Canis lupus familiaris: one gene and its partners. The protein of the gene in region 2 interacts with the protein of the main gene of each other region in a pairwise test. Links are inferred from orthologs where the notes say so. Each region holds a gene or a part of one and is shown on either strand. Other genes may lie near its edges.

Region 1 (10,296 bases), on a different chromosome or scaffold from region 2:
CAAGTGGGAATGATAAGTAGATGGTAGTATATATGCATCTGTAATTCAGGGAAGAGTTGTGGGGCTGAAGATGAACATATTGGATGTGTTAATATATTATTAGTTGATACGTAAAGAGATCGTTAAGGGAGTGAGTACAGATAGAGAAGAGGTTGGGAAGCTGAACCCTGGGCACTCTCTGACATTTAGAGATCAGAAGGTGATCAACCAGCAAAGGAGTCTGTGCATGAGCTGCTGATGATGTTGAAGGAGTATCAGAGGCCTTAGGGTGTCCCAGAGGGCAGGTGAAGAGAGCCTTTCTAAGGGGAGAGTAAGCACCTGTAAGTAGTGATCGATGGATTTAGCAACACATAGGCATTTGGTAACCTTAGCAAGAGCATCTTTGGTGGATGGGGTAGGGGAGGCACCTGATTAGAGAGGGTTCAGAGGAGAATGGGAAGATGGAATTGGGGGAGAGTGGGTATATTATACCAGGTTTTGCAGAAGAGGGGAACAGAGAGACAGAGTGGTAGCTGAAGGGGGATTGTGTAGTTTCAGGAGAGCTTCTGGTGTCCTGCTAATCGGGATGCCTTTGGGTATGTGTGCGGGCTGGTGGAAGTGATCCAAGTAGAGAGGAAAAGTGTGACGGTGCAATGTCCTTGAGCCCCTGTGGGGCAGGGAATGGGAGCTCTAGGAAGCTTAGGGGTGGGCCTGGGTGCCTGGGTTAGGTGATGGAAGGCTCACCCACACCCCTGAGGGGGAAGGACCGGAGTGGAACCACAAACAGGTAGGCAGCCAGGTAGGTAGGCAGGTGCGACTGTGGGTATCGAGGGGACATCTATCCAGAAAGCCTTATTTTCTCAGTTGACACAGGGAATGAGACTGAGGGAGGAAGGATGGACTCATGGTCTAGGGTGAAAGGAGAAGGGATGAAACAGTCAAAGGGAGACTTGCGGGGAGGTAAAGGGAATGCAATACGATGGCCCAGTAGCACCGAGAACACACACACACACACACCCCCAGTCGGTTGAAGACAAGAAGTCAAATTAGTGGTGAGGTGCCTTTTTCAGGCACAGCCGTAAGAGGAGGTGCACACCGGCGCGTGGGGCCCGCAAAGGGGCGCTGAAGGGCTGGTAGCGGGGGCGGGGCGGGGGGAGGTTCCGAGGAACGGGCGGCGTCCTCCTCCCCGGGGGGAAGGCAGCACTAGGAAAACAAATAGCTTTCTCCTCCGCACGCATTCCCAAAAGTACACACGCTGTGAGCAGGATTCGAACCTGCGCGGGGAGACCCCATTGGATTTCGAGTCCAACGCCTTAACCACTCGGCCATCACAGCCGCGTGCGGCTTGGGGCCTGCGCCACTATAGCTGCCTATCAACGGGCCCGCCTCCCGCCGACCCCGCCCCTCCGCCCGGGACGGCTGTGCGCGTGCGCCGCGGCCCGCACTTCCCCCTGCAACCGCCCGCGCCTCCCCTGCCGGGGCCGCGGTGCTCCCGCCCCCCCTCCGCGCGCACCGCCCCGGCACGGCCCCGGCAAAATGAGCCCGAGCCCCGGGCCCCACGCCCTCGAACGCGGGATGCCCGCGTCACCCCGGTTCCTGGAAGCAAAGTGGGGTGTCAGGCTCCGGATTCACGCTAAAAGTGCGCGGAGCGGCAGCTCAAAGTGGGATCAGCTGGGGAAGAATAAGAATCTTCCGGAAGGCGCTGGCCACCCACAGGCTCTGGAGAGGGTTGGAAGCGCGGTGCTCTCGCAGCAATAATATACTGCTTCTTACGGAACCAGGCACCGCTGGGATTCGAACCCAGGATCTCCTGTTTACTAGACAGGCGCTTTAACCAGCTAAGCCACGGCGCCGGCGGAAGGCGCTTTGCCTCTGGAGGTAGATGAGCTATCGGAGTACTCGGGAAATGAGACGCAGCCTGAAGACGATGGCTCCTGCGGGTCCCGCGGGTCTCCATGACCTCCCCACACCCTTCCCAGGTCCGAGCCGGAGGGTTGACGCTCTGCCCCGGCCGTCCCCCACACCTCGGGGGGCCAACCGGAGCGTTGAGTGGGTACGTGAGCTGACGCCCCATAGCCCCCGTCGACGGGGCCCTCTGCTGCGTGGGATCCGGTGCCAGAGCAGCACCCTCACCTGCTTCGGGGCCCCTGCACGCCGGGCGGGCTCCCCTCTCTGCGGGCGAGCCCGACGGCACCAGCCGCCCGGGGCCGAGGAGATGCTACAGGCAGGGCAAGGCCCTTCTGCCCGCAGGGGTGCCCCGCGCCAAGGGCTGGGGGTACCAGGGCAGGGGGCGGTCACTCTCCCTGCGCGCGCGCGGGCGCGCGCGCGCGCACACACACACACACGAAAGCGGGGCCACACCTCCCCCCAACCCTACATTTCATTCCACAAAGGCCGGGGTGGTTTGTTTTTCTCTCTTTGTATTAAAAAATAACAAGACACAATATCAAAAACACAAATGCCATCGGTAGAGGGTACAGCTGAGAACACCTGGGTCCCACCTGAGGGGCAGCACCAGGGACTCCATGGTCCACCAACCTCCCCCACCCTGGAGCAGCTAGGGGTTTGGACCGCTGGGTCCTGTTTGGGCCTCAGGCCCTCCTCCTCCCACCCAGGGAGGAGGTGAGAGAGAGCTGTCTCCCCCCAATAAATAAGTGCAGCCCCAACCCTCAGGGACCGGGACTGGGCTCAGCCGGGACTGGGCTCAGCCGGGACTTGGAGAGACCACTTCAGCAGCTTGTCAGCAACCTTGCCCAGGGGAAGGAAGGGCTCTTCACCAGAGGTGGGAAATGAGGCTTCTCTGGGCCGGGTTTATGAATCCCACCCTGTGCCCCCTCAGAAGCCCTGGCAGCCCCTGTACCCTGGGCTGCTGGCGGGGGTCCCGCCCCCTAAGTGGGAGAAGCCAGGCCAGTCTCCTATTGGTTGGTCCAGCCACATCCGAGTTCTGAGAGGTGGAACATGGGAGAAGGAAGCTTCTCATGCACTCTCGGAGGGGGCCCCCAAATGTGGTCTAACTGGTGCCATTTTCTGTGGCAGGTAAGGCTGGACTGGATGAGCTCCCCCCTTGTTCCTCCTCCTCCATTGCCAGGTCCTGAGAGCTGGAGACTCTGGCCCCAGCTTGAGCCTGGGCCTCTTCTCCGCCCTCACCCTCACCACCCCCACCCTCACCTCCACCCTCGCCTCCGCCCTCGCCTCCACCCTCCTCCATAGGCTCCAGTCCCAGTCCATCCAGTTCTGAGAAGAGGGGGTCATTGGGGTGGCCGGGGTCTTGGGTGCTACTACCGCAGTCCACGCAGGCCTTGGAGGGAGAAAGGGGAGAAGTCAGGAGGGATTCTCACTGCTCACCTGCCACCCCAGCTCCTCGTGTCCCCCAGCCCAGGAGCACTTCCCAGAATGTCCTCCCAAACAAATATACTCGTCTACACACATGCATGTGGGCCAACAAGATGGGAAAGTGTACTGTACCCTGTTATCTAGAACCCACCACAAGACAGTGTCCATCTGCATAGCGTTGGCCCAGAAAAGGTCTACAAAGACTCGTGTGGTTAAATGCTATCTAACCCTGCAGCAAACATCCTTCAGAATCAACCCCCCCCCCCCGCCCCCCGAGGACAAGGAGGGGATCAGCCCCCAGCCTCGATCCTATCGTCTCTCACCATCACATCGAGGGCCCGAGGCAGCTGACCCTTCCGGACCCAGGAGTGCACAGCACCCAGTTCCCTGCGCTGGTCCTCTGAAAACCGAGGCTGCTGCTTCTGCATGGCCCGCAGCCGCTCCCGATCCTGCTTCAGCACAGTGGCCATGTCCCTGCCCGGGGAGGGGGTTTGGACGGTAGAGGCTAGGAGCCAGGACCAGAGCCCACAAGGCTACTATTCTTCCCACCCATGCCTCCTGCCCTCAACCAGGGCTCAGGGAGTTCAGGGCTTCCAAGACCCAGGAAAATTTGTTCTGAAAGGAACTAATGGTGGGGCTCCGAGGAGCAGGGGGCAGGGCGGGAAGGCCTAGGGCAGAGCCAGCCCGGGAAAAGAACCCCCTAAATTCGGTGGGAAGTGAGGGTGGACTGGGAGGTGGACAGAGGGGGCCTCTAACACTCCTCACCTGGAGGGCACCTGGTAGGTCATCATGACACGCTGGTCAGCGTTGGCCATGAGCAGCCAGATGGGATCCTGGAGCACGTACTTTATGACCTGGTCCCCAGGCTCAGCCCTGGCCTGAGCAGCCCCTGCTTCAGCCTCTGAAGAGTCGATGCTGCCAAAGTACTTGCTCGTGTGGCTGCTCTGACTGCTGCCTGTGAAGCAAAGGGGGGGCAGCCACCAGAATCAAGCCACTGCACCCACCAGTGAGCCCTTGCTCAAGGCCATGTCTGCAGCCCCCCAGGCCTGCAGGAGGAGGGCCTGGCCTCCCGTTCCACTGCCCTGCCCTGAGGTGCAGGCGTTTGGGGAGGGAGAGGGGCACTCACGTGTGATGCTGGCTGAGGTGCTTCCTCCCTCATGGGAGCCTAAGCCAGACCCAGAGCCCAAGCCGGAGCCCAAGGAGCCCGAGGCAGCAGAGCCTGTGCCAGATCGAGAGTCCTCCTGCAGCAGCAACTCCAGCAGGTCACTGGAGCCGGACAGCGCGTCCTGGTTGGAGGACTCTGTCACCTCCACCTGGAGGGGGGTGGACAGGACAGGATCAAGAGATCAACACCAAGGCTTCCTTTGGCTGGGGGGGTGGTGGGAACACGGCTGGGCCCAGTGCTCCCTGTTCCCACCCCATGACAGCAAGGCCAGCTGGGGAAGAGCAGGGACGAGGTGCCGGACCCTTCCTAGGAGGCAGGAGTGCTCTCAGAAGCTACTGGGATGTCCTCGCCACCTGTCAGACAGGACTGTCCCCACTCCACAGATGAGGCAGTGGATTTCTGCCTCCTTCAGAAATTTAGCTGGGGTTTCCCACCCTACGACACCATCTTCTGGAGACTGAGACAGTGAGACACAGGACACAGGTCAGGGACATGTGCAAGGAGGAGGAAGAAGGAGGGAAGGGGGCTAAGTGGGAGCTGGTGAAAGGACACAGGGCAGGGGGTCAGTGCTCACCAGTCTGGCCTCTGGCTCAGCAGTCTCCTCACTGGGAGGCGGGGGCCCAGCACTACTCCCAGGGCCCCCCGCCGTGGCACCCCCCTCAACACGGGGGGGCTCCTCAAGCTGCAGCAGGTTTAGCTGGAGCGGGGAGCTGCATCTCGAGTTGAACAGAGGCGAGTCCGACCGGCGGGGAGGGCTGGGGGGTGGTGGGGGCAGGGACGGAGAAGGGGAGTGGGAGGCAGGGGTGGGAGGCCCTTCCGCAGGCGTCTGGGGGACCCCATAGGGGTAGCCAGACGGGGTAGGGAACAGATAGTTAGGAAGCACCAAGGCCACCATTGGGGTCACGAGCGGGGCAGGGAAGGCTGCAGGGGGCCCAGCTGTAGGGGCAGAGGCAAGAGACTGGGAGCCTCCCCGAGGGGAGAACACCGGGAGAGGGTAGGGCTGGACGACAGCCGGGAAGGGAGTAGTGGCAGGTGGGGGGGGCCAGGGGGCGGAGGGTGACACAGGTGGCGGGTGGGAGCCATAGCAGGGGGCTTCGGCCCGGGGGGTCTGGTGGTGGCGTGACCGCTTGGCTTTGGATCGGCAGTGGTGTCGGCGACCGGGGGGAGCAGGGCCATGGTGGCAGCCTGTGGGGAGAGACCAGGGTTATCAGCAAGGGCCTCAACCTGGCCGTCGGCATCCCTGCCACCCTCACTGCCCTGCCACTCCGACCAGGGTGAGGGCAGGAGAGGGCCCCAGGAAGAGCTCGGCCCCCGGGCCACACAGAACAAGGAGGGACCCTGGGGAAGGAGAGGGAACCTTCAGGGAAGAATCACAGGAGGCAGGGCCACGGGGATTTATTGCAAAAGGAGCCAGGAGAGGAAAAGTTACAGGTGGTGGGGAGCTGGGGGTGTACGGAAGACGGGGGCACGTCGGCCGATGGGAGGAAGCAGGGCGGGTCCGCGGATGAGGGGGCAGGCGGCTCCGGTCCATCCGCCAAACTCCCACAGCAATGCCAGCCTGGGCGCTCCTCCTGCCCGTCGAGGCCGCGCTCGGCCTAGCTCGAGCGATGAGGCGGGCGGGAAAGCCCAGTCCCAGGTCCTGTGTCCGCCTGCAGGGAGCCTCTCTCAGGCACCTGGAGGGCTGACATCCTGCCCTTGAAGCCCCAACCCCAGCGGGAGGTGTCCCAGCTCGCCTGGCCTGACTTCAACCAGGAGTCTCTATGGGTCTCTTAACCAGCGACAAGTTGGTCATAGGAGGGCGTCCTTTGGCCCCTGGCCCCAAACTCGGCTTAAAACTGCTTACCTGGAGCAGAGCAACTCTGCCTGCCTGTCTCAGTGCCAGCCCCCCTCAGGGCTGCCCTCCTCTGGCTGCAGCCCAGAACCCCAGCCTTGTGGGGAGAGGCCAGCTGGGGGCCTGTCCCTAAGCCCGGCCCTGGCAATGGAGGCAGCACAAGCCCAGGGCCCTGGAGCAGGACTGTCTCCCTCAAGCACCCCCTGGCCCCCGAGAGTCTGGTCCTAGACTGAGCAGAGGACAAGGCTCAGGGACATCCTGGATGGCTACCTCGCTCGCCAGGGGCCAGGGGGGCCGGGGAAGAGCTGTCGAACGCCCGCAGTCGGCCAAGGTCTCGGAAGCGGCTGAGGAAGGCCTGCTCCTCCTTCTGTGTGTGCAGGGACAGCACGGCCTTGGTCAGGCCCACTGGGCGGTAGGCATCTGGGGCAGGGTCAGGGGCTACCGTGGGGCTGGGGGCTGGGCTGGGGGCTGGGCCCGGAGCCAGGCCAGGCAGGTCCTCCATCATGATGATGTCTGAGAAAGGGGAGACAGGTCATTGGAATTACCTCAGGCATTCCTGCAGCCACACCACAGCCTCCCCTCAGTGGCCCAGCCAACCCCTGGCCACTGCCCCACGGCCAAGCCGGGGCCCAGGTGCATCTCTTGACCTCCTCCCCACTGAGGACCCGTTCTGGGCCCTCATTTCTGTGCAAAGTGGTCCTGAGCAAGAGAGAATAGAGTCCCCTCCAGTGACAGTGCCTTAGGGTGACACCTCCATGCCTCTCCTCTCTCCTCCAAAGGAAAGCTCACCACCCTTCACCCTTCCCTCACATGTATGATGATGCCCAAAGACCCTCTGGGAGTTTTCGACAGCCCTTACCCTCAAACACTGCAGGCACCTGACGCCTGAACCCCCCCCCATCCTAGGCTCTGTGTGCGAATTGACGCCAGGCCCATACCCGACTCCGGGGGCTTCTTGTCTCCCACATGGACGATGGTGGAGCTGAAGCTACACTGGCTGGTGACAGATACCACGCTCTCTGCCTTATTGGCCAGGGCGAGCGGGCTCAGGGCGCCTCCCACCACTGGCTCCTTCTGCAGGCTGGCCCCCTCCCCAGACAGCACTGCCGGTGGATCTGTGCAGAGAGATGGTGCCAGTTACCCCCAGGAGATCTGAAGAAGAAATCTGGCAGGGGTGGAGGGCATGGACAGGAGGCAGGAGTCTGCATATCTGAAGGCCCAGAGGGGGACAGGGTATAGGAAGGTGGGGGGCCCCAAAGGCAGATGTGTAGAGACACAGAGCCAGCAGGACAGGGCAGCAGGGGCAGGGCACACGCCAGGTCTTTACCTTTCTTGGTCCCCAAAGGGACTGGACCCGTCCTCTGCTTGTCATCGTCGGAGGCCGATGAGGTGGTGCAGGAGGAAGAGGAGGCACATTTACGCTTGGTCGTGCTAGGGATGTTACAGCTCTCCAGGTACCTGTGGGGCCGGCAGAGGAGGTGAGAGTGGGGCTAGAGGTGGGGTGAGCCAGGGCCCGAGTGGGGAGGTTTCACAGTGGCCTCACCTGAGGATGCTGTCCAGGCAGTTAATCTGCTGGTAGGAACAACTGGAGGCTTCTTTCCTTTCAGCCTCCTCAGGGGTCAAGGTGAGTGGGGCTGGGCCTGGAGCAGGGACCATCTCCAGTTCTGGGTCCGGGAACTGACCAGAAAGTGTCTTGGCCTTGAACATGCCTGTAGCTGGGCCAAGGACAGAGAAAACAGAGAGACAAGTTTGTCTGGGTTGGGGTGGAAGTCAGGGAACCTCCAGGTCTCACTCCTCACCCACACCCCAAACAACTCACCAGGGAGGCGGGGCCGGGGCATAGGCCGAGCACGGGACTCAATAAAAAGTTGCTGGCCCTGGTGCTTCACCAGATGCACATCCTTACAGATCTGCTGAAAGGTCACCTGTGCGACAGAGCAGGCCAGCATTGGGAGCGTCCAGCCAACATCAGAAGCCCAGGGCACAGAGTAGCGAGAGGTACCAGTGAGCAGGCGAGGAGGCCATGGTGAGAGCAGGACCAGAAGGAAAAGGCAGAGAGATGGGGCTGAGCTCCTCTGGGCCTGGCCATGATGGTTCTGAGAGCACCAGGGGAATGCAAGCCTGGAGGGTGGAGTGGAGGAGGGACACTCACCGGTGCAGGAGGCCCAGGCCCCTCGGCATCACCCCCGTTGCTATCACTGGAGGAGCCAGGGCTGAGGAGAGGGCCTGGGGAAGTGATGGGGCCCACTCCACAGAGCCCACTGGGACTGGGGCTGTGCACAGGCTGAGGCAGGAGGACAAACGGGTTAGATGGCTCAGCCCTGCTCCCCACCCCTACCTCATCTCCTCATTTCCAAGCCCCACCCCTCCACATTCACCTGTAATAGCAACCGGTGGATCTGCTCCGAGAGCTCCTGGATATCAGAGTCCAGAGACAGAGCCGGGCTAGGGGCCGGGGGAGTGAACACATCCTCATTCAGGGGTGCCCTGTGGGGTGGGGGAGGGTAAGCTGAGGCCTGCCCCCTCCTGCAGAGACGCAGCCCATGGAGCCAGCCCTGGGGCATGGCCCACTTACGTGCGTACTTTGTGGCGGCCCAAGACAAAGGCCACCTTACGGCTCCAAGGGTGCACGAAGCCGGCCCAACTGGTGTCCATGGTGACATACTCCCCATTGCGGGCGCAGAAACGGATAGGGGAGTGGTCGAAGGGCTGACCAGCCAACTGCAGGACTGTAGGGGTGGGAAATGAGGTGAGGTTCAGCAGGACGGAGGACCACCCCCTGGGGACCTGGGAGACCAAGGCCCCGAAAGATACAACCACAAGCATGGCCATCGAGAAGCCCTGCAGATAGCTGAGAAGGGAGAGCAGGAGAGAGAGAACTCACTCTTCTTATGGATGGCCAGCATGAGGGGTCGGTCCTCGGGATGCAAGAACAGGAGCACTGGAGCTCCCAAGAGGTCCTGGGGGAGGTAGCCCAGCAGTGGGGCAGCCCTGAAAAGGGAGGTGGCATCAGAGTGGCCATGGCCTCAGCCCTGGCCACCCCATTTTCTTCCAGGTCCTGAGCTCACCTTTCATCCACATCCTGGAAGAGGCAGCTGGGTGTATGCCGAGTGGTGAAGATCCTTTTGTCAGGGGGGATCCGGGGAGCTGAGGCACAGCAAACGTGGCCATTGGGTTCTCTCCAGAAGGGTCCAGCTTCCCTGCCCGCCCATGCCACCTAGGGCTCAAGCTGGCTGGCAATCCTCCCCACAGCTCAGCCCGGGGCTGTGTAGCCTACAAAGAGGGTCTGGAGAATTCCCCTACTCCACACCCAGAGTGAACCTGAAGATCAAAGCATACTCCTTTCCCAGCTCCTAGCTCCTGGTGCTCGTCCAATGTTCCCTCTAAAAACGGCCTCAAACCCTCTAAAAACGGCCTCAAACCTTCTTCCTTCCGGTACCTTCTCTGTCCCAAAATTCTGAAGGATGGAGACTTCACCCATAGCCCAGGGAAGTCACCCTGCCTCCTACTAGGCCAGGCCTGATGCCCACATACCTTCATAACCCGAGTGGATGCGCTCAGCGATGAGCAGGCAGCATGGCTGTGCAGGCGCCCCGTCTGAGACCCGGATCTTGGTCACATATGGCGTTAGGCGGAATGGCTGGTACCGAGGCCCTGAATCCCGGTCAGGACCTCCTCTACCAAGGGAGAGAAAGAGGCATTAGTGACTCTCCGTGGAGGGCCACCCACCCTTCACCTCAAGGCCACCGCCCACGCAGCAAAGAGGCAGGGAGCGGAGGGTGGGAGGGGTTCCGCTCCCACTTCCCCCAGCTACCTGATACGGCAGAAGACAGACTTCTCCTGGGTGAAGTCCTTGAGGCCCGAACCTGGAACAGACCAGAAAAGCACTAAGAATGACCCCTGCCAACCTCACCCTGGGCTGAAAAGCACCCAGCCAGGAAACGCTGGGGTCCCTGGGTCCCTCACAGCAGGAGCTTCCTGGGACTGC
Region 2 (11,145 bases):
AAACTTTTAAGAAATGTACTATATTTGGATTAAGAAAACCTTGATTTACTATTTATTAATTATGCAACCTTGACTAATTCGTTTAGCTCTTTTGGTAGGCTTTAGTTTCTGAACCATAAAATGATGGCATGGATTTTACCAGTAATTCTTTGTTAGGGCTAAATGCCAAGCAAAATGGCCATAGTAAAAAAGAATAATTAGTTATTCGTGAGTAGTGTCTAATGCACACTATGATTGGCAAAGCTAATCCTCTTTTTAGTATGACTTGATTGAGGCATTTAGTGATCAGAAGTAAATATAAAGTATGTTCATAAGACATATATGCTGGCAAATTTAACAAAGGCATGATGAGCACAACAGGAAGTAGCAATTGATTATTTCTATAGTTATAGAATCCTAGTAATACTTGCTTTATTGCCCTTCAGTATAATATTGGTCTGGTTTAGTTTTTACTGATGATTAAGAGATTCTTTGAGCTGAGTTGTAATATTTTTACCTTTTCATATATATATATAACTTTTATGTTATTGCCTTTAGGCTAACTTAGCCATCACTCATAGGTGCTTAATAATACCCTTTGTCTTAAGGTTTTGTTATTCGCATGCTGTATATTTTTGACACACAACAGATGTCTAGAAAATGAGAATAATTTTTAGATATTTTAATAAGTTTCCTGGTCATATAAGAAGTTTATATCCTCCTGGAAGTCTTAAGTAATTAATTTTGTTTTCTGATCTTAAGCATTCTTAGAACTTATCAACAAAGTATATTATCATTTTTTAATATTAACTGCATTTTACTAAGTTTTTTGTTTTTGTTTTTGTTTTTTTTGCATTTTACTAACTTTGTAATAGGATCATCGAACTCAATGGTGGACAACCACCTCTTACATATAAAAGATTCCAGACTCTCATCAGCAAAATGGAACCACTAGAGATACCAGTAGAGACAATTACTTCAGAAGTAGTAGAAAAGTGCACAACTCCTCTGTCTGATGACCATGATGAGAAATATGGGGTCCCTTCACTGGAAGAACTAGGTAGGTGTAAATGAAGTTTGAGAGTTAATAAATCTCTCAGAAAATCTCACTTCTAATTTAACATATAAGGTTTTTGCTTTAAAAGGGAAAGGAGAAAAAAGTCTAAAAGAAACTCTTAAGCAAAGAAGTGATAAATTTGTACATTATTTGTTTTCTAAATATGATCTATTATCACCTTAAGATGTTTGTCCAAAAGAATAGAGACCATGTTATATCCTTATATGTGAGGACCTATCCAGGGCCCTCAGTTCATTTTTATGCTACTGTCATAATTTTTCTGCAAAGTAGTTTTTCCCAATTATTATGGTTCAATAAAAATTATTTTAGTTCTAGAAGAATATTTTTTCTTTTTTCTGTTTCTTTTTTTTTTTTTTTAGGTTTTGATACAGATGGTTTGCCCTCTGCAGTATGGCCAGGCGGAGAAACTGAAGCACTTACACGTTTGGAAAGGCATTTGGAAAGAAAAGTATAATTATAGATCATGCTTATATTTCCAAACTGGCATTTAAAAAAAAATTCACTCTTTTTTAAAAGCAATATATAGACTGTTAAACAGAAGAATTAAAATAGTTAAAATAGCATAAACCTAATTGTTTGAAAATTAACAACCATCTCTTTGTTTGAATATTTTTTCCTCCTCTGCTGACAATTTCCTCTTTATCTACTACCAGTACTACCTCTTCTATTCTTTCTGTGTAAGCTGGTATCTGATGACCATAACTTTGAAGCTATTCTTCTATTTCACCTTTACCTCAATGTCAAGGAGACAGGTTGAAAGTCCTCTCAGCTTGGTGTTAGGAATTTGAATATAATTTATTTCATATGAGTATGTGCTACACGAGGATGGCTGAAACAGAAGAATGCTCACATTTATTCTGTTGTGTTTTGTTATTAAAACATGTTTGTGACTGGGAAAATAAAATTTTATCTCCAAGAACTGTGTAACCTTTAAAAAATATGTCTGTTTTAAACACTCTTTTAAAATGGAAAAGGCAGTTAGTTAGCATAATTTTCTCTGTGTATTTTCAGGCTTGGGTGGCAAACTTTGAAAGACCTCGAATGAATGCAAATTCCCTGCTCGCTAGCCCTACTGGACTCAGTCCTTATCTCCGATTTGGTTGTTTGTCATGTCGACTATTTTACTTCAAACTCACAGATCTCTACAAAAAGGTATTGTCTAAAACTGAAGCTTATTTTTCAAAATACTTCTTTAAAAATTGCTGATAATAATACTTTGCTTTTTAACCTTAGGTGAAGAAGAATAGTTCCCCTCCCCTTTCCCTTTATGGGCAACTGTTATGGCGTGAATTTTTCTATACAGCAGCAACAAATAATCCACGCTTTGATAAAATGGAAGGAAACCCCATCTGTGTTCAGATTCCTTGGGATAAAAATCCCGAGGCTTTAGCAAAATGGGCAGAAGGCCGGACAGGCTTTCCATGGATTGATGCCATCATGACACAGCTTCGTCAGGAGGGTTGGATTCACCATTTAGCCAGACATGCAGTAGCTTGCTTCCTGACCCGAGGTGACCTGTGGATTAGTTGGGAAGAAGGAATGAAGGTGAGTATTCTTCTAACTAATGTTAGCACAGTCTTATTTTGAAGGACTCTATACCTTATTAAGACAATTCCTGGAAATTGTCTATTATTTAGATTCATTTATAGTCTAATTTTTTCAGCAGGTAAAGATTTTAATTCCCTAACACAGGCATACTCTTGGAGAGCAGAATGGTGTATTCAGACAGGAAAAATGGTGAAAACTGGTTTTATTTTTTTTTTTTTAAGATTTGATTTATTTATTTGAGAGGGAATGCAAGAAACTATAAACAGGGGGAGTGGCAAAGGGAGAGAAAGAAGCAGGCTCCCTGCTGAGCAGGAAGCGTGATGTGGGCTCCATTCTAGGACCCTAGGGTCATGATATGAGCTGAAGGCAGACATTTTACTGACTGAGCCACCCAGGCACCCCCAGAAAACTGGTTTGATGAACCTAAAGTCATTTCAGAGACTGAACCAGCCTGGCCATTAAGGGAACTATAAGGTTTAACACACTGGACTCATTAGATGAAATATTTATAAGTGATCATTTCTGTTACAAAAATGGATTTGCCCAAGAATTCTTAGAAGTAATGAATTTATATTATAAAAATTATGTAACATTTTGCCTCACTTTAACATTATACTTTTTAGTGATCTATTATGTAAAGTGAAGCATACTGCATTTTGTGACATCAACCTGTGGTCATACATAATAGGATTAGATTTTCCCTATCCAGGGACCTTTTTTTTTTTTAAAGATTTATTTATTTATTCGAGAGAGAGAGAGAGAGAGAGAGAGAGAGAGGCAGGCAGAAATCTAGGCCGAGAGAGAAGCAGGCTCCTTGCAGGGAGCCTGATGTGGGACTCGATCCCCGGACCTGGGATCATGCCCTGAGCCAAAGGCAGATGCTCAACCGCTGAGCCTCCCAGGCATCCCACAAGGACCATTTCTGATCCTCTTTTTTTTTTTTTCATCTCCTGTATTTCTTAGTACAAAGTTGTACATGAGGTAGATAGATGTATATAGTACACACTTAATGACTTTATAAAAAGACATTTTAATTCTGTTTCCCTTTTGCTGAAGGAATTCCAAATTTAAACTCTATAATGCTAGTGCCTTTTTTTTTTCTTTTTTGCTAGTGCATTTTTTTTTTTTTTCGCTAGTGCATTTTTAAAGGTCATTTATATTTGGGTGCTCCCTGTATGTAGACCAGTATATCAAACTTCTAAGTTTTTGTTAGTTATTTACTTGGTAGCATCTTTGCTTTCTTGAAAGTGTTTACTGCTTTTTTTCTTGCATTTTTAATTGAATCAGTAGCTTGAGTAATTATTTTATCCTCTTCCCAATAACATTGCAAAGACCAGAGAGATAAATTCTATTCAGAAATTCACTTATACTACTGATATTTTTCTTTCCCTGAAATAACTCAGTACAGAATAGAACATTGACAAGGAGGCTAACATTGGAATGTTCAATTTTACAGTTCTGTGCTAGATTTTCTTTGCCTTGACTTTTGATCTACAGAGTCCTGGAAAATGCTTGCTTTGAGAATTATATGTGTACAAACTAATTGGTTACTGTTACTTCTGAAGGTATTTGAAGAATTATTGCTTGATGCAGATTGGAGCATAAATGCTGGAAGTTGGATGTGGCTGTCTTGTAGTTCCTTTTTCCAACAGTTTTTTCACTGCTATTGCCCTGTTGGTTTTGGTAGGAGAACAGATCCCAATGGAGACTATATCAGGTAAATCAAGGGTGATTATTACTCAGTTTGGAATAACTAATCCAGGAAGAACGTTTCATGTTAAAGCAACACTTAAGGTTTTTTTCCACTCATCATGGGCAGCAGAGATGAGGAGATGGGTAAACAAATCATTAAATGGTATTGACTTGATTTTGGTCATTCATAGCTAATAATAAGTTTGTTATAATTTGCTTGTAGTTTATTTTATTAATAGTTTTTCTTCCTTCTCCCAAAAGGCGTTATTTGCCTGTCCTAAGAGGTTTCCCTGCAAAATATATCTATGATCCCTGGAATGCACCAGAAGGTATCCAAAAGGTAGCCAAATGTTTGATAGGAGTTAATTATCCTAAACCAATGGTGAATCATGCTGAGGCAAGCCGTTTGAATATTGAGAGGATGAAGCAGATCTACCAGCAGCTTTCACGATACAGAGGACTGGGTATGTCAGTAATTACCTTTGGTTTGTTTCTTTGGCAGGTGTTTATGTACCTATCCTTGAATTTGATCTTGATCATATTTTAATAGGAGTTTTTTTTCCCTTTAGGTCTTCTTGCATCAGTGCCTTCTAATCCTAATGGGAATGGAGGCCTCATGGGGTATTCTCCTGGAGAAAATATTCCAGGTTGTAGCAGCAGTGGAAGTAAGTGAAAAGGAAATTTCTATACTTAACATAAAGAGATTAATAATCAAATATATTTTTATTGAGTCTCACTGTAATGTTTTTTCTGCATACATGTGTACAGACACACACACACACACACACACACACACACACACGCCCTCCCTCATTCCATTAGTGATATTTGGGAGATGGAAAACATTATGTGTAGTAGAATTTAGCTCAAGGTAAAGATCTTGCAAACTGAATGAAGAGGGCAATTTTAAGGGTAAAATGAAACTTATATTTTCTGAAGGCTCATTATTTTTTAGTTTGTTAGGTGCATATCAGGTATAAGGTTATTAGTTAAGGTCAGTGGTCCTGTGAATATGGCCAAAAGATTTATCATACACACGCATAGTCTTTAGTCTTTTTGCACACGAGTTTTTCCTTACAGTCTGATTGATAGTGGTTTTCTATATGATAAATATTTGGTTGCCACATATATTCTTAATGTGTGTATTAATAACGTCAAGAAGCCAGTATTTATTGGTAATAAATACTGGTGAATCATTGTGTCAGTTTTCAAAGATTCTAACCAAAAATAGCATCATGGGGATCCCTGGGTGGCGCAGGGGTTTGGCGCCTGCCTTTGGCCCAGGGCGCGATCCTGGAGACCTGGGATCGAATCCCATATCGGGCTCCCGGTGCATGGAGCCTGCTTCTCCCTCTGCCTGTGTCTCTGCCTCTCTCTCTTTCTCTCTGTGTGACTATCATAAATAAATAAAAAAATTAAAAAAAAAAAACACAAAAATAGCATCATGGTAATTAATTTGATTACAAACAAGGCAGCATTTGAGGGATGCTTATTTTTTTTCCAAAAAGGTCACGTTTAAAATTGATATTAAGAATAAAACTTATTTTAAAAATTGAGCCTTTCTGATTCAGAAATACACTCCATCCTTTTGAGAGCATATATTTATTCTCTAACAATTAGATTAAGGAGAAAGGAACAAAACATTCATTTTAACTATCTACTTTGTGCACAGTACAAGGGGATTTTTGCCACATTGTCACAATAACCTGGGAGGTGGTGGTGGAAATAAGCCAAGAAAGGTTAGGTAAATTAACTATGATTCCACAGTAAGTAAAATTCAGATCCAGATCTGACTAGTCCTAAAGTCCTTATTGGGCCTCCCCTGCAAATGTAATGCCATATGTACTTTTATAAGATCAAGCATTTTTTTACTGGAATGTCTAGTAGTTGTCAGTGATGGCAGTATACTTCAGAAGTGTTCTTCTGAGAGTCTCCTACAATTTGAACTTCAGTAAGATATCAATTTAGTAGTTTTGTCAGATCTCTTGTTCACTTCACAGCTTGCTTCCTCTGTCCATACATGAATTTGAGGGACAGAAGTTCTGTGAAGCACATAAATAGTAGGCAGGTAACAGAAGGGTAGGAAGCAACAGGCATCAGGTGCCCAACTAATGGGTGGTGATGGTACAGACTGCCTCTTGTTCCACTCAAATCTGTATTTATTATTTGGAATTAACCATAAAAACTAATTATGGTAGGAAGTTAAATTGAAATAATTTTGCTTTACAAATACACATGTATTTTATGATATAATAGGATTAATAAATCCTGAAGTACTCTAATCATGTAAATAGTTGGCTGTAACACACTTTGTATTAGGTGCTATGAGGCGAAAAAAGTTATAAATTGTAAGATGCTGCTTCCACATACAATAGGGGAAAAAAAAGATCATTGAGCACTTAAGGAACTACAGAAGTTTTCTTGCAAGATGGTGGGTTGGGTAGCATTTGGGTAGGCAGCTGAAGGAGAGAGCATTGTGGACCTGGAAATGAGAGTGATTATGGAAAGATCCTGAGGGTTTGGACTATGCGATTAAACATTTCTCTCCCTTCTGGTTTCTGTTCCATTTGAAAGGACATTTAGATACTTCTGTAGCATATTTCTTTATGCCCTCTACTTACCCTGTTTGTAGGCTTTTATTTTACAGTATCTCAAAGGGCAAGGTTCTTTATGACTTGTACACAGATGACTTGAAGTATTGTTGTTCTTATGATAAAACGCAATCTATGATAGTAATATGTTTTAGTTTTTATTTAAAATTTTTTTCTATTAAAAATAGTAATTAGCGGGGCAGCCCCAGTGGCGCAGCGGTTTGGCGCCGCCTGCAGCCTGGGGTGTGATCCTGGGGACCTGGGATCAAGTCCCATGTCGGGCTCCCTGCATGGAGCCTGCTTCTCCCTCTGCCTGTGTCTGCCTCTCAGTCTCTCTCTCTCGCTGAATAAAATGAATAAATCTTTAAAAAAAATAAAAATAGTAATTAGCATTATTAGTCATTAGGGAAATGCAAATTAAAACCCCTAAGAGATGATATTTCATACCCACTTAGGGTAACCAACTATCACTGATTACCTGGGATTGAGGGGCTTCCTGAGACCTGGGACTTGCAGTGCTAACACTTGAAAAATCCCAGATAAACTGGAGTGAATTGGTTACCCTGAACTCACTCCAGTGCCTAAAACATGATAGACCGTAAAAAGTGTTGTGGAGGACGTGAAGAGACTGGAACCCTCATATGTTGTTGAGAGATGGGCTGTAAAATCGTACAGCCACTTTGGGAAACAGGTTGGCAGTTTCTTACAAGCTAAACATTAATTTAACATACAATCCAGAAATTCCATTCCTAAGTATCTATTCAAAAAAAATGAAAATATATGTCTACACAAAGACGTAAGAATCAGAAGAATGTTTATGATAGTTTTATTTATAATAGTCAAAATATGGCACATCCACACAATGGAATATTCATTAATAAGAAGGAATAAAATGTTGGTACATACTACAACATGGATAAACCTCAAAAATATTAAGTTAAAGAATCCAGACATAAAAGACCACATACTGCACAATTCCATTTATATGAACTATCTAGAAAAGGTGTATCTTCAAAATAAACCAAGGAAGTTAATGGTTAATTTAGATATAGGGGTAGGAATGAGAATGAATGCAAATTGGGATGAAAATGTTCTAAAATTGGATTGTCCTGATGATTACAGAACTCTGTAAAGTTACTAAAAATTATTGAATTGTATACTTAAAACAGGAATTTTATGTTATGTAAATTGTACCTCAGAACTGCTTTTAAAAAAAACTATTCACGGGAATCCCTGGGTGGCTCAGCGGTTTAGTGCCTGCCTTCGGTCCAGGGTGTGATCCTGGAGTCCAGGGATCGAGTCCCACATCGGGCTCCCTGCATGGAGCCTGCTTCTTCCTCTGCCTGTGTCTCTGCCAGTCTCTCTCTCTCTCTCTCTCGGTCTCTCAAGAATAAATAAATAAATAAAATCTTTAGAAAAAAATTAAATTAAATTAAAATAAAAAAAAACTATTCACTATATATAATTTCGGAAATTCAGAAAAATAGAAAAGAAGAAAAAAATCACCCACAATTCCATTCAGTAAAGACAGTTACTATAAAAATTTTGGTATATTTCCTTTGAATATCTTTTCTGTGCAGTTTTCCCTCCACAATATCTTTAAGTTAGAATTTTATGAGTGAAAAACCCTTGGTGCTACGGACAGTGTAACATAAGAGGAGTATGATCATATGAACTTTTTGCCCTTAGAAAATGTGGGATTTTTTTAAAAACAACAAATATGGGTTTTTTAAAGTTGTTTTCATTCTAAAATTCCCATCTTATATAATCTTGGCATTTGAAATTTAACTACTGCAGTGTCTTTGAAGACATAATGAATATGGGGATTTCTGATTTTTCTAAGTAGCCAGTCATAAGCCAGTTGGTCTAGCAAAGATCTTTACTCATTGTCTCTTATACTGTTATTCTTGTGAAAATATAATTTATTGTATTTTTATGGGAAAGTAATAGGCAGTTGAGATATTCATGAATTTAGAGACACAGGAAGATTCTGAGTACTTATTATTTAGCTCTGTAAAGAATAAAATGCTATCTTAAGGAAATTCTGAATGTATTTATTGAGCTTATTAATTTGCCTTTCATCTTCAAAACTAATCACTCCTGATTAATACTATAATTTTTTTTGCCTGTTTTTGAACTTTATAGAGTCCTGCTGTTTGTATTCTTTTTTGTATGTGGCTGCTTTCACTCAGTATTTTTTGTTTATGAGATTATTCTTATTTGTCTTAGAACTGGAAGTGGAATAAAATTAATGAAGTTGAGAAAATGAGGTGACTAGTCCGTGATTTAGCCTATCTCTGTGATTCTTCCAGTAAAATTGACTTTTCTTTCCTTGGTATCCCCACTGTATGCCATAGCAGCCTCCACCCCAGCTTAGTAATATTTGTATCCCTAGTACCTGGTATAATCTGTAGCATAAAGGAGCACTTGACAAATGTATAAGTGTGACTAATGTATAAGGTGTATTTGTTGAGATTTCCTTTCTTTTTTAAAAAATATTTATTTATGGGACGCTTTGGTGGCTCAGTGGTTGAGCCTCTGCCTTTGGCTTAGGTCGTGATCCCAGGGTCTGGGATCAAGTCCCTCATCGGGCTCTCTGCAGGAAGCCTGCTTCTCCCTCTGCCTGCATTTCTGCCTCTGTGTGTGTGTGTGTGTGTGTGTGTGTGTGTGTGTGTGTGTGTCTTATGAATAAAAAAATAAAATCTTTTTAAAAATTTATTTATTTTAGAGAGAAAGAGAGCAGGGGGAGGGAGAGAAGGAGGTAGAGAATCCCAAGCAGACTCCCTGCTGATTGGGGAACCTGACTCAGGGCTCCATCCTGAGATCATGACCCAAGCGGAAACTGAGTCCAGTGCTCAACCTACTTAGCTACCCAGGCACCCCTGTTGAAGTTTCCATGATTGCAAAATATATGCAATATGAAACTTAGCATTTAACCATTTTAAATGTACAATTCAGTGGAATTAAGTACATTCACATTGTTATGTGAAGTTTTTAATTTTTTTTAAAGATTTTTATTTATTTATTCATGAGAGAACAAAGAGAGAGAGAGGCAGAGACACAGGCAGAGGGAGAAGCAGGCTCCATGCAGGGAGCCCGACGTGGGACTCGATCCTGGGACTCCAGGATCACGCCCTGGGCTGAAGGCAGGCACTTTAACTGCTGAGCCAGCCAGGTGTCCCTGTTATGTGAAGTTTTAAATAATCTTGTACAATAATGCAAGGCAGCAAGTATCACTATTAGGGTAAGTCTGATGATAAAACTAGGAGTAGCACCATTCAGTGGTGAATTTGCTGTAGTCCAGAATCTGACCTTCAACCTTACAAGTCCAAGAACTGAGTGTTTTTAGTTTAATTAGAGGTGACCTTAAGCATCTGACTCTTGATTTGGCTCAGGTCATGATCTCAAGGTAGTTAGATCAAACCCCACATCTGCTCCACCCTGGTTATGGAGCCTGCTTAAAAGATTCTCTCTCTCCCTCTGCCCCTCCCCCTCAAACAAACAAACAAACAAACAAACAAACCACGTGATTTAAAATATCAACAGGGAATACTAATTATTTATGATGGAGGTATCCCTTTCCAGTGGTAAAAGACCTCATCCCGGATCAGGGCATGCACTTTCCCAATTTGGAGTACCTGAAAAGCTGAATCCTTTATCCAGAGGAACTTGAGCATGAAATTAAGTAGATTGCCTTGTTCAAACCATGAGGTGACTTTTCTTAGTGGGTAGAATGTGCATATTTGTCCATAATATAGACACACTGACAAAAATGTTTCTCTAGCACCTACCATCTGTGTCAACCCATTCTCCTATAACATTATTTCTTTTTAGAAAGATTAATATAATTCCTTAGGCTAGGTAACTGCCACATTGTGTTTCCTCCTCCTTGTGTGCTTTGAATTGTTTAATTCTCATCTGGCAGACCCTATTCACTTATCTCCAAGGACATATGTTTTGGCCCAGGCACTGAATGTGGAATCGAGGGACAAGAAGTGAAAGGATATATATCTCACTGTTGCCCTATATTTTGCTTCCATGGTCAAGTGTCTAATTGTCATTCAGTAAAGAAATGTTTTTTAGACAAAGATTTTTAGTGATACTGCCTTTGAACCAAAAGTCAACATTTCTATGATCCTAAGTTTAAATTTTCCTAATTTGGGCGTGTGATTTTGGTTCCTGTGAAGGATTGAGGTTTAGTCCTAAAAAGCATAAATGCCCTTAATACAATTATTTAAAAATGAATTTGTAGTCTTA
Region 3 (11,145 bases), on a different chromosome or scaffold from region 2:
TAAGGGACTAGGATATACGAAGGTTGAGAAGGTACAAAGCACAGAGGCACGTCCCGTCCCCGTACAAGAAACAATAGAGAGCTCCGTGTGGCTGAAGTGGAAAGGGAAGGGCTGGAGGTGGAGCTGGAACGGTGAGTTGGGGGCAGATTATTGGGGTCTTAGACTGTTTGCTAACAAATACGTGTTTATCACACAAGAAATGGAGAGCTTCTGAAGGTATTTAAGTGGAGAAACAGCAAAGGAAATTGTGGTTTGGATACCCTAGGAGCAGAGCGATAGGTAAACCGGAAGAGCAAGGAGCACACAGAGTAAGACAAGCACACAGCAAGAGGTGGTGAGGATGTGCTCTGGCCCCGCAGTGAGGACGAGGAGGCCGGGAGGTTCCTGAGAACTCGTGGGGTCTGGCGGGAATATCAAAACATTTGGCATGAAAGAAAGAAAACGAAGGGGACTCCACCTTTCTTGGATTGAATGTTTGCTACTGCTCAGGGACTCGGAGAAGAGAGGACATGGAGTCTGCCTTAGAGAAGAGGGAGAAGGATTTCACTTGGACACATTCCGTGCAGAACAGCTGTGGAGTTCAACAACGAGCACATCCTTATGGGGCGCTCACCGAGCATCAGGTCCGGGGTAGTCACCGGAAGACCAATCAGACGTGCCGCACTGAGCACACAGACTCAAACAAGCGTATGAATGAGTGACAGTGCAACTGCAAGAAAGTGCTAGCAAGGGCACCTGCAGGGGCTACAGGAGGGCCCGGGGTGGCCTGACCCCGACGCCCGGCTCTAAAGGACAAGGCCAGCCAGCTGGCTGAAGGGAGCCGACGGACAGGCGTGGGGGGCAGGCATTCCAGTCGGAGACCATGGCAGAAAGGGGGAGGAGGCATCGAAAGGAAGTCGCCACAGCTGAACACGTGGAGTGGGGGCGGTCGCGGTCGCGTTAAGGACTCCTGACTTTTCTCCAAGAGCAATGGGAAACACTACAGGGTTTTAAGTAGGGAACCAAAGACAGGTTTGCTTTAAAAAGATCATTCTGGCTGCTGTGTGGAGAGAAGGCAAGTGTGAGGAGCCTACTCCACCGGCCGCGGTGAGAGCGGCGGGTAGCCCGGGTCTGAGGGATGCGGTCAACGGGGAGGTAGGTGGATAAGCGCAGTCGGATAACTTCTGTAGGGGGTTCATGGTGGCAGGACTTTGCACCTGACCGGACTGGAAGAGGGAGTGAAGCGGGCTGAGGGCGCCTCTCCAGCTCCCAGGATGTGCAGCCAGGTGCTGTGGTGCCATTTACATCAGGGAGGAGCTCGGTGGTCACTTCCGCACAGATCAGGTTTGAGGTGCCCTTGAGAGGGCTGAGCAGATAGATTTAAGAAGCCGACTTACGGATCTGCAGCTCAAAAGAAAAACCTGGGCCAGAAATAGAAACTTGGAAGCCACCGGCATGGAAGTGGCACCGCAAACCAAGGGAGAAGACATGGCCTACGGATCACGTGTAGATAGAAAGGTGGCACAGGACAGACGAGGAGCCAGCAAAAGGAGGTGGGGAGGAGGCCTAGAGTGGCAGAGGATGGGGGAGACGAGAAGTAGGAGGTTTCATGGAATCCTAGGGGAAAAAAATACTTTAAGATGGAAGAAAAATGAAGTGTCCGTTGTGTTCGGCAACATGGAAGTCATTGGTGGATGCGGCAAGAGTAATTTCGGCGGGCAGCGGGATGCTCGGAGGCGGCGGGCATCGTGGCTCAGGGTGTTCCTTCTCAACCACATGGAAACAAAATTTAAACGGAGGAAGCTTTCCCACGAGTCTCTGTCACTGTGACAACCGTCGGGGCTTTCCAATCGCCCCTGCTCCCCAACGGCCCTACCCTGTAGGGGACAACGGCCCCCGGGACCTGCAGGGGACCACTGAGCCAACACCGTGCTGAGCGCTCCCGTGCACCGAGCCAGCCTCGCCTGTATCAGGATTTTCTTATTTTATTTTAAAAGATTTTATTTATTTTCTTGACAGCAAGAGAGAAGAGACGGCGTGGGAGGGAGAGGGGATCCGAAGCAGACTCCACCCTGGGCGCAGAGCCCCATGCGCGGCTCGACCCCACGACCGCGAGCTCGCGACCCGGGCCGCCCCGGTGGCCCTACAGGAAGACCGTGAAGAAGTGAAATGGTTACCTTTTTTCTTTGAACAGGTAGAGGGGAAGTCCTTGTCTTCCACCTTTACTGAAGGCCTGTTACACTTCATCCTACAGAAGAAAGAACGTCGTGCTCCAGAACATAATCGAGATGGCCCAGGGGTTATATCTGTTTTAACTGGAAGTCCAGCTGCAAATCAATACACAAAATGTGATAAACTGAGAGTAGTATTGTCTGTCAGGAGGGGGAGAGTGACCTTGAAGAAAGCCTCCTCTTTCCTGCCTCACTGCCTCATACCGACCATTCCTCCTCACTGACGCCTGAAAGACGCAACGCGGGTGAGCGGGCTGTCAATCTGGAAAGGTTTCCAGATCTCCTAGAAAGCAGCTACCGGTAGGAGCGGGACTGCGATCCTGCTGCGAACACTGGCTACTGGTCTGCAGACTGTCCGGGGATAACGAGCGCCCACCGTGGGAGAAGCCAGAGAGGGGGCCACTGCCGGGGCTGCTCCTGGACGTCACCCCTCCAACCTACCTCCCACAGGGCCTCCCGGCTGAGCCTCCCTGGAATGCACACGGCCCCCTCCCCGCTCCTTTTCACCCTAGCACACAGTGGGGATGCGTCTCCATCCTGAGATCCTCCCCCCACCCCTACCCCCCCGCCGCTCTGTTCTTCTCTTTATCACCTGGTGCACCCACCGCGACTCCTCCTTTCAGACCCACCCCAGCCGTCACCTCCTCGGGGATGCCTGTCCTCGGGTCCACATGAAAACGAGTCCTCTGTTCTCTCTGCTTGGCACTATTTCTATGGAGGTACCTATCACGTGGGGTGCTGGCCCCAGGTCTCCTCGACTGTATGGCACAAGCCTTAAAGGCAAGGACCAAACATCACCTCCTTTTTCTCTTCGTGTCACTACCAAAAATTGCCAGGGCCAGACTAGAAAAGGCAACAGGGACCGGGGGCCACGTTGAAGTTTTCGGAAGAGGAGTGCCTTAATGAAAAGGATGGTTTAAAGGAGGTCTCTCTGGGGACGTTTCCCTCTGGGGACTGACATGGGGGAGCGTGCAAGCAGGAAACTTGGGCCATGACCACACTGGCCGGTGAGCTCGCGGCACTGACCCCGTGCCCACTGTGTGCCAGGAGCTGCCCCATGTGCTTTATGTATAGTGATATAGTTAATCCTCGCAACCACCCCACGAAACCGGTACTATTTTGTAGATAAGGAAACGGAGGCACAGAGAGGTTAAGTAACTTGCTCAAGGTCACAGCTGACAAACGGTAGAGCCAGGAAGTGAGCCTGGCAACCAGACTCCAGGCTCCACGCTCCTAACTGCCGGAGCACACAGACTCCCCGGATGGGAGAGCCTGATGGGGGAAGACCTACAGGGCCTCACGCAGGAGGGACGGGGAGGGGGGACACGGGTGAGAGAAGCGGTGGGGGGGGAACGTGAAGCCAGGAGGGGGCCCCAACTAATGAGGAACCACTTTGGCCAAAGAAACTTCCAATTTATATTTCAAGTTTTCTTACTTTTATCTTAGGAGGCTGCATGAGTGTAACTCGAGTAAATAGAGGGAATTTTTTCAGGGGGCACAAATCAAACTGGTGTGAGCCCTTTAAACTCAGGGGCACACAACTGGGAATTTATAGATTCTGGGGGAGGGGGGGCGAGTCTAAAACCCAGAAAGAATCAAAATAGCTGTTTTTCCTCCCTGTGGATTTGGACATTACGTAAAGCAAAACAAATACGAAGGTAGGTGGATAACCGCATTGAGCCCGGGAGAGCACGTGTGACCCAGGTAAGGGGCAGAGAGGAGGGAGGCCGGGGGCTGAGCGCATCGGCACACGCTGCGGTCCTCGCTCAGCCGTGCGGGCGGGCCCCGAGGAAGCAGCCGCGGCCTGCTCCTGGACTCACTTTTTGCATCTATGAGCCGCTCCCGGGGCGCCGTGTCCGAGGAGGAGAGCTGCTCCTTCACTTTGGCGATATCTTTAGGGTGCAGGTAGTCAAACAGACTCTGACCGATCAGATCGTTCTGTGGGGAGGAAGCGTGGAAACCACACGTCAACAGCACGTGGAATACAACTTCGCCAACAGGCGCTCTGCGTTTTAGTTTGTATTTCTAGGCATGGGAATTTCAAATATGTCCAGTGTGAACAAGTAACCTGTCCAATCGCTGTGCCTAGGGACACACAGGACAGGGAGCGAGGCATCGGGACTTTGGTGTCCGTGACACAGGAGGGGGAAGGGCGTATATTTATACTTCTATAAATAGTTCACGCTCCTCGAAGGCAGGAGTCTTTCAGCTGTACGTGTTCCCTGTTATTTATTCCGGATGCCACAAGTGCCCTGCTAGGAGCACAGGGTGTGGGCGGGGACTCTAGCCCCACTGAGCCCTCGTGGTGTTGTGTCACACCGTGTGCCTCCACGGCCTTGTGTGGCAGCAGGGAAAATAAGAACTGCCTTCATAACTTTGCCCCAAGACCAAGAAGAGCAAGACACTCTGGATACATTCAACTTACATTCATTCTAGTTCACACAAATATCCTTTTGATTCTTCAATTCTGCTGCCTTACCAGCTTCCCATGCAAACACCAGCAGGTGAAGGAATGAGTGAATAAGTGGATGCATGGGTGGATACGTGAATAAGAATGCTAGGGACAGAGTGTCCCTGCTTAAAAAACTTTGCTCTAGAAGCTTCTGGGCATGCTTATCTTACTGCATCCTATGAACAATCATAAAAGGTATTATTACACTCTTTTTTTTTTTTTTTATTTTTAGAAGGAGCCGAGATTCAATAGAACGAAAAAGGGATACATCATCACAAACACAGTATGGGTGGATCCCCATTGTTTCATTCTCTGGTTATCATCTGCCTTTCCTGGTCAGGTAGCCCCTTGCCTCGTGCCTCCCCCGCTCTCTCTAGCTGCGGGATATTCACTGTGCAGCAATAAGAAAGTATAAAGCTGCTGATGAGATCACAGTCAAACCTTCCAGTGAGGGAAGCATAGAACACATACTAAAAAGATTTTTTCTAGGGGCACCCCGGTGGCTCAGTCGGTTAAGTGTCCAACTTTTGATTTTGGCTCAGGTCATGATCCCAGGGTCATGAGACTGAGCCCCATATCAGGCTCGGCACTGATTGCAGGCTGCTTAAGATTCTCTTTCCTTCTGCCCCTTCCTGCCATGCATTCTCTCTCTCTAAAAAAAATACATAAAACTTAAAAAAAAAATTTTTTTTTCTAGGTTTAAATTTACTTCTCTGTTAAGAAATTACAAATTTTCTGGAAGAAGCATTGGGTATGTGTGTGTGTGTGTGGGGGGGGGAGTTATAATATAAGCCTTTTATGTGTGGCTTGTATATTATAATTATTCTAAAAAGTGGGGTGACCTTTCTGGCAGCCGTGAGGCTGCCCACCACCAACAGAAGCATAAGCAATAATACCTGGCTGTAGTTGAGGATCTTGAAGACAGACTCTGAGACGAAGAGTATCTTCCCTCGGTCACATCCTACGACAAACAAAAATCCATCTGCTGCCTAATCAGGAGAAATGGATAATCAATTTACCGCACTTTAGGAAACACGGTTTGTAATCACTCTGATAGCAACTAAGGATTTGTCTGCTAAGTATCCAAAGCACAGAACTGTACTCATCGAGTTTCACAAGCATCCTGAGCCCAGGACGCTCAAAAGGAACGCCTCATGAGAAGAAGAAGATTCTCTCAAAGGCAGGTATGGACATTTGGATCATCATCGTCGTCGTCGTCATACGGGGGACGGTCCAACGGAAGCAATTTCAGTTACAACACTGAATTCATTTTAAGAATTTTCCTTGGAGTATATCAAGGTCTGGAAATGTCCTGTTTTATTTTGTTACTTGTAACTATGTAGAATCATAGAATCTGAGATCGAAAGGAGCCCTTACATCAAAACCCCCTCCCGATATCCCGGCCACCCTGGCCCTCAGCCTGAACACTGCCATTTACGGAGCGCTCTCTCCGATGGTTCTCAACAGCTGGAGCGGCGCGTTGTGTGTTTGTGCTGCTGCTGTTTTCGCGCTGATGGCCTGGGGTGGGGCTGGGTCAGGAGTATCGTTCTCACCCCCACCCCAAATGATTCTAATGTACACAGGATGGAGAACTACTGCTCTCAAAGATCATTTCTGGATCCGGGGCTGGGCTGCCTACATCCTAAGTAAGGCAAGCAAAGCAAAGCAAAACTTTCCCCTCCGTTCTCTTTCCTTCTCCTTCACTTTAAATGCAGGTAAAACATCTCAAGTCCCAGGAAAGGCAGATACGGAGACAGGATGCTATTTGTTAGACTGAAGCGGATAAATACCAAAGCTGCAGAGTCTGAGAGCTGCAGCTCGTGGGGTCTAGGTGCACGTGAACCCTACACCCAGGGCTCTGAGGACGGACAACCGCTCGGCTCCAGCCGGGGGCCTCCCAGGGATGCGGAGGGTGCTCCACGCTCGGTCACGTGCTTGCTTTCAGGCTCAGCAAACACAGTTCTAATCTTGCTTTATTCACCAGTCCTCAGTCTGTTCTTTGGAAAAATCTAGAGAAACCCAATTCCCTTTTCCACAGAGGGGCCTCTGGGGATGTAATTTAATTCAAAGAACTAAGAAATGAATTCGTGTGCCAGAGGCAAAATAATGGCACAGGCACCTGTGCAGACAGGAAAGCAGTAGGAGGGGAACCACTGCGCTGAGAAGGCGCCAGGCCCCTCAGCCAGAAGGGAGCTGGGGCCGCTCCCTCCCTAAGCTGGCCCCCTAAGCTGGCACAGGGCAGGGGAGGACAGTGGAGAGGAAGAGACTTTCCAAGCACCATCTGCTGGAAGCCTCGTTCTGTCAAAAAATAGGGTATTAATAACTTGCGCACCACCTTGCAGACAGTCTCACATCTAACACGAGAAGTGTCTTGAGGCTTTCGTTGGTGCAGGGAAGCAGCACAAAAGGTAGGTGACTCGGAAGAGGTGCCTGCGACATCCTGGAGGGAATGCTGAACCCCTGATGGGAACAAAGTGGGTTGCAACCCATCCAGGGCGAGAGAGTGAGCTCCCGTCAGCCTATAGGGAAGGCTCCAAACATCCTGACTCTGTTTCCCCCGGGCAGATAAACACCACCAGGTGAAGGAGCCAGGGCCTAGGGGCCACCTGACAAGTGGAGATGGGTGGGGTGCCGTGGGCACACGGCGCCGCAGAAGACAGGGCAGGCTCCCTGGCGAGGGAGGACGGGGTTAGCGGGGGAGGCAGGCCAAAGCTCTGGGGGCGCCTGCCTAGTTTTCAGAACACGGGAGGTGGAGCACCCAGGCTGGCCCTGACACGCCACTTGCCAAAGCCATTTGAAAGCTCTTGGTGGAGAAGTCAGACCTGCACTGGTGAGGAAAAGCACAAGTCCAGTTCCCGCTGCCCACCCCTCCAACACCACCTGAGCGGCCCCCGCCGTCTGTGCACAAAAGTTCTGGGAAGTGGACTCCCGGAATGGCAAGGGATTAGATGGTGCCTCATGGCCACAGGCAGGTGCCAGGGGTGGGGCAGGGGACAGAGAGGTTTCATCGGGGGAGACCCAGCACCACTGATGCTGCAGGATGCAGAAGCACAGGAAAGGCAAGCCTGAGATGAAGTATTTAGCTTAAACGGCATGAAAATCCTTGGTCCATACCCTGGCAAGTGTGGGCATGTGACAGGAAATTCAGAAAAGTAGGAGCAAGTTATTAAACATTTGCTGTTGCAAAGGGAGCTTCTTTATATATTACATGTAGATCTATAAAGATACATACAGAGAGAAACCTATAGAGAACACAGGCTTCGTACACTTTATAGGTGTTCAAAACCAAACCCGTTTGTGTATATACACACATTCATTTTTTTCCCCTAAAGACATCCAATCAGCAGTACGGCAATCAGGCCCTGTCCCGGGATTGCGGGGCCCAGTGCAGAATGGATATGCAGAGGCCCTGGTTCAAAAGTCAGGATCTTCCAGACAGCAAGAGCAGGACATTAAAACAAGCGCTGGGCCCCGTGTGGCTGCGTAGGGTGCGTGCCCATGAAGCCAGCCCTGGTGGTTTCTCCAGAGCTGCTGCCGACACAGTTAGTAGCTTAACTGCAGCAGGTCCTCCCTGAGGACCGGGCCAGCCTTATGAAAGGAGGATGGAGAGGGCAGTGCAGAGCTGCGTCAGAGTAACTGTGCCCTGGCAGAGGTGGCCCAAGGACCATCCCAAACTTGCTGGGACACCCCCCCCCCCCCGCCCCCAACGTGTTTATTGTGGACTTGGATTTTCCAAGGGCCGTGCATACAGAACTAAGTCTCAAAAACGAAAGACACACCAGGCCTGCCTGTGGGATCTACCTATCGCAAGCAGCTTCGAAGGATCACTAATGACCACCTGGAACATAGGGCCACCCAATAAATAGACTTTGGTAGAAACAGAAGTTCAAAAAACCCAAGTGCACCTATACAGGATGGACAAAACCTGACCTAACAATAATCCATGTACAGGAATGGGAGGGATGGTATCACAGTGGCCCAAAACGTGGCACTAATAGGATGGCTTCTGTGGCAAGGAAGGCACCAGGCCCATGCCATCCCAGGCCAACCAGACCACAGCTGACGCTCTGTACTGGGTGGTGAGAGCCACTTTCGGAGGAAAATCTAGCAAATGGCTGTGGCTCTGGAAAGTGTGTGTGGCAAATGCTGATGGGGGACCCTCGCCTGCCTCTACTATGATGGCGGGAAAAATCTAAATCCTTGCCCTGAAGCTAGGGGTCATCAGGTAACATCTTCTGGAGAAGCTGACATCTACAATCGGGCTTTCAGGAAGGCACAGCTTTTCTTGAGAAGAGGGACAGCTGGGCTAGACACTGCGCTGCCCCTTGTGTCTGGCTGGCGTGGCTACACTGAGGAAGCAAGCTGTACACTAGCTCAGCAGGACTGTTCTCGAAGACAGGAAGAGCCTGGTTCTGGCCGCCCTCACGGAGCCACCACCCCCTCATGGCCTACCCCAGGACCAGCTATATTTGGGAAACAAAACCCCATTTGTTCATCAGGTCATCTGTTCCTTGCAGCTGAAAGCTTTCCAATTAAGATAACACGCGAGGCAGGGATGGGTAGAGAATGCTGGAGTGAGCACACAGGCCAGACGTACAGAGGACCGGAAGCCCGGCAGAGCTGAAAGTCAGGGTGACAACAGAGTGGGCCTGGTGTCCCAAGGCCTGGCAAATGTCTGCTCAAGAGAGGTGCCCAGATACTGTAGGAGCTTAGCAAGCAAGGTCCACCCTGGCTGTGGGGGGAAGGAGGCTGGTATAGTTCCCTTCAGTTAGGTTTTTCTGTTTTTCTTTTTATAGTTTACAAGAGGACAGGTTTCTGAATCCTGTTTCTTTCCCTTCGATTTCCAAGTTGATCTCACTCTACCCAGAGGCAGACCCAATCCCACACGGAAGCCAAGTTTGCATGGCGCCACCTCGACGGCCTCTCCGCAGAGAGGAGCAAGATGAAGTGAGCGCTACGGCCAGGAGGGGAGAGCCTCGCATCCCCCATTTCTTTTCCTCCTTGGCAAGAGGAGTCTTTGGAAGCTTTGTTGCTTTGATGGGGTTTTGGCGGAAGAGTAGATGTGGATGTTTTTGCGCCAGCGGTTAAGTGAGAAGACGACAAATGCTCAATTATCGGTGTCCATCCTTTTCTAAAGCCTTCATGCGGGAATGGGATTCTTCACTACCTATTTTTGACAAAATCCTGCATCCTTCTATTTAAAAACCACAGTAGCCTGGGCCTTCCATTTTTGTCTAAGCAAGCGTGGAAGGGGAGGAGGAAGACCTCAGGGAAAGAATGTGAAGACTGTCCAGACAGAGGTGGAGACCCAAAAGACGAGGGGCCTCAGAAGGTCCAAAGGTTAGACATCAAATTCCCACAGGCTGGTACCTCACCCAGAAATTCATAAAAGTGTGTACAAAACAAGCTCGTAATTGCGACATACCCTGAGAATGAGGTGTTTCAATTCATCATCTGACAGGAAAGTCGGCTTATAATTTGCTTCTGTGTATGGATTGGTGGCACCTTAGGGAGAAGAAAAGAGAAAGAGTTGGTCCACTTTCTATTCAGGTAACGTCTCATTCCACTTCACCGCCTCCACCCTTCCAGATGCGGCCTGGCCCCTGCCACCTGGAACTTCAATCTTACTTTCTTTTTCCTTAACAGAGACAGGGCTAGATCGGGCCTCGGACAGAAGCCATTGAAAAAACAACACTGTTGCCCACAGGGGACCTAGCGAGTTTGCTCTGGCCACTGGAGGGGAGCCAAGAGGTAATAGACAGAAGGAAAAATCTGTTTCAAAGAGAGAAGGCAGCACCGGAAGCCAAGCGGCAGAGGGTCCTGGGAGGATTCCCTCCTCCCAAGATTGACATTAAATGGGTTGACCAGCAGTCCCTCAAATCGTCACGCTGAGCCTTCCTGGGAAATCATCCAGGCTGCCAGGCCCTGAGTAAATAAATACATTGTAGACGGCGTTTGGTGGGAGTGCTTCTTCATCGGACGAGGCAAATGAGCTTGGCAACCCAGAGAAATGCATCACTTAAGTGACTACAGCTCTGGGTCCTCGGGCTGAGAGGGGACAAGATGCTTAAAAGGCCGTCAGTCTGGCATCGCATCGGAGAACAGTAAGAGAAAAATGCCAGCAGCAAATGACCTGGAATCCGCAAAAACAGAACAGTGAAGAAATAAAACAGAAAAGGTCCATGATTCACAGCACACGGGGAAGGAGGGTGACAGATGTGCCTGGGACTTTCACATCAACTAACCAGGCACAGGCTGAGCCACATCCCGGCTTTTTATGACTCGAGATGTGTCACTCGTTTCCTTCCAACTTAATAAAAGTTAGCTTGTAATAACCTAATCTCTATCACCTTCACTAAGAGGAAATTCTAGTGGACACGACGCAGACAGGTCTGAATGGGGATCGCAAGTCAGACAAAACCGGCGACTGTGCCCTTCTGGTGGCTTTGTGGAAACACGAAGACACAATCCTTGTAGCACGCG

What was found.
Region 1: the proteins of CRY1 (region 2) and PER1 interact in binary tests that used the Homo sapiens proteins (3 or more experiments, as listed by UniProt). The link is inferred for Canis lupus familiaris from reciprocal best matches to the Homo sapiens genes CRY1 and PER1.
Region 3: the proteins of CRY1 (region 2) and ARNTL interact in a two-hybrid assay, tested with the Homo sapiens proteins (3 studies listed by BioGRID, with this or other methods). The link is inferred for Canis lupus familiaris from reciprocal best matches to the Homo sapiens genes CRY1 and BMAL1.

The regions. Positions count from the first base shown.
Region 1 is NC_049226.1:33,160,759-33,171,054, forward strand, and holds the end of PER1 (period circadian protein homolog 1), read right to left. Parts: intron 10,175-10,296; coding exon 10,123-10,174; intron 9,986-10,122; coding exon 9,843-9,985; intron 9,456-9,842; coding exon 9,377-9,455; intron 9,300-9,376; coding exon 9,193-9,299; intron 9,038-9,192; coding exon 8,884-9,037; intron 8,796-8,883; coding exon 8,687-8,795; intron 8,593-8,686; coding exon 8,461-8,592; intron 8,234-8,460; coding exon 8,128-8,233; intron 8,024-8,127; coding exon 7,852-8,023; intron 7,767-7,851; coding exon 7,636-7,766; intron 7,424-7,635; coding exon 7,247-7,423; intron 6,822-7,246; coding exon 6,579-6,821; intron 5,663-6,578; coding exon 5,052-5,662; intron 4,626-5,051; coding exon 4,439-4,625; intron 4,268-4,438; coding exon 4,078-4,267; intron 3,787-4,077; coding exon 3,636-3,786; intron 3,278-3,635; coding exon 2,990-3,277; 3' UTR 2,380-2,989; downstream 1-2,379. UniProt on the Homo sapiens protein: Transcriptional repressor which forms a core component of the circadian clock.
Region 2 is NC_049231.1:32,822,918-32,834,062, forward strand, and holds part of CRY1 (cryptochrome-1), read left to right. Parts: intron 1-854; coding exon 855-1,039; intron 1,040-1,416; coding exon 1,417-1,505; intron 1,506-2,068; coding exon 2,069-2,209; intron 2,210-2,290; coding exon 2,291-2,602; intron 2,603-4,170; coding exon 4,171-4,322; intron 4,323-4,558; coding exon 4,559-4,761; intron 4,762-4,866; coding exon 4,867-4,962; intron 4,963-11,145.
Region 3 is NC_049242.1:36,905,446-36,916,590, reverse strand, and holds part of ARNTL (aryl hydrocarbon receptor nuclear translocator-like protein 1), read right to left. Parts: intron 10,168-11,145; coding exon 10,088-10,167; intron 5,652-10,087; coding exon 5,559-5,651; intron 4,149-5,558; coding exon 4,031-4,148; intron 2,307-4,030; coding exon 2,157-2,306; intron 1-2,156. UniProt on the Homo sapiens protein: Transcriptional activator which forms a core component of the circadian clock.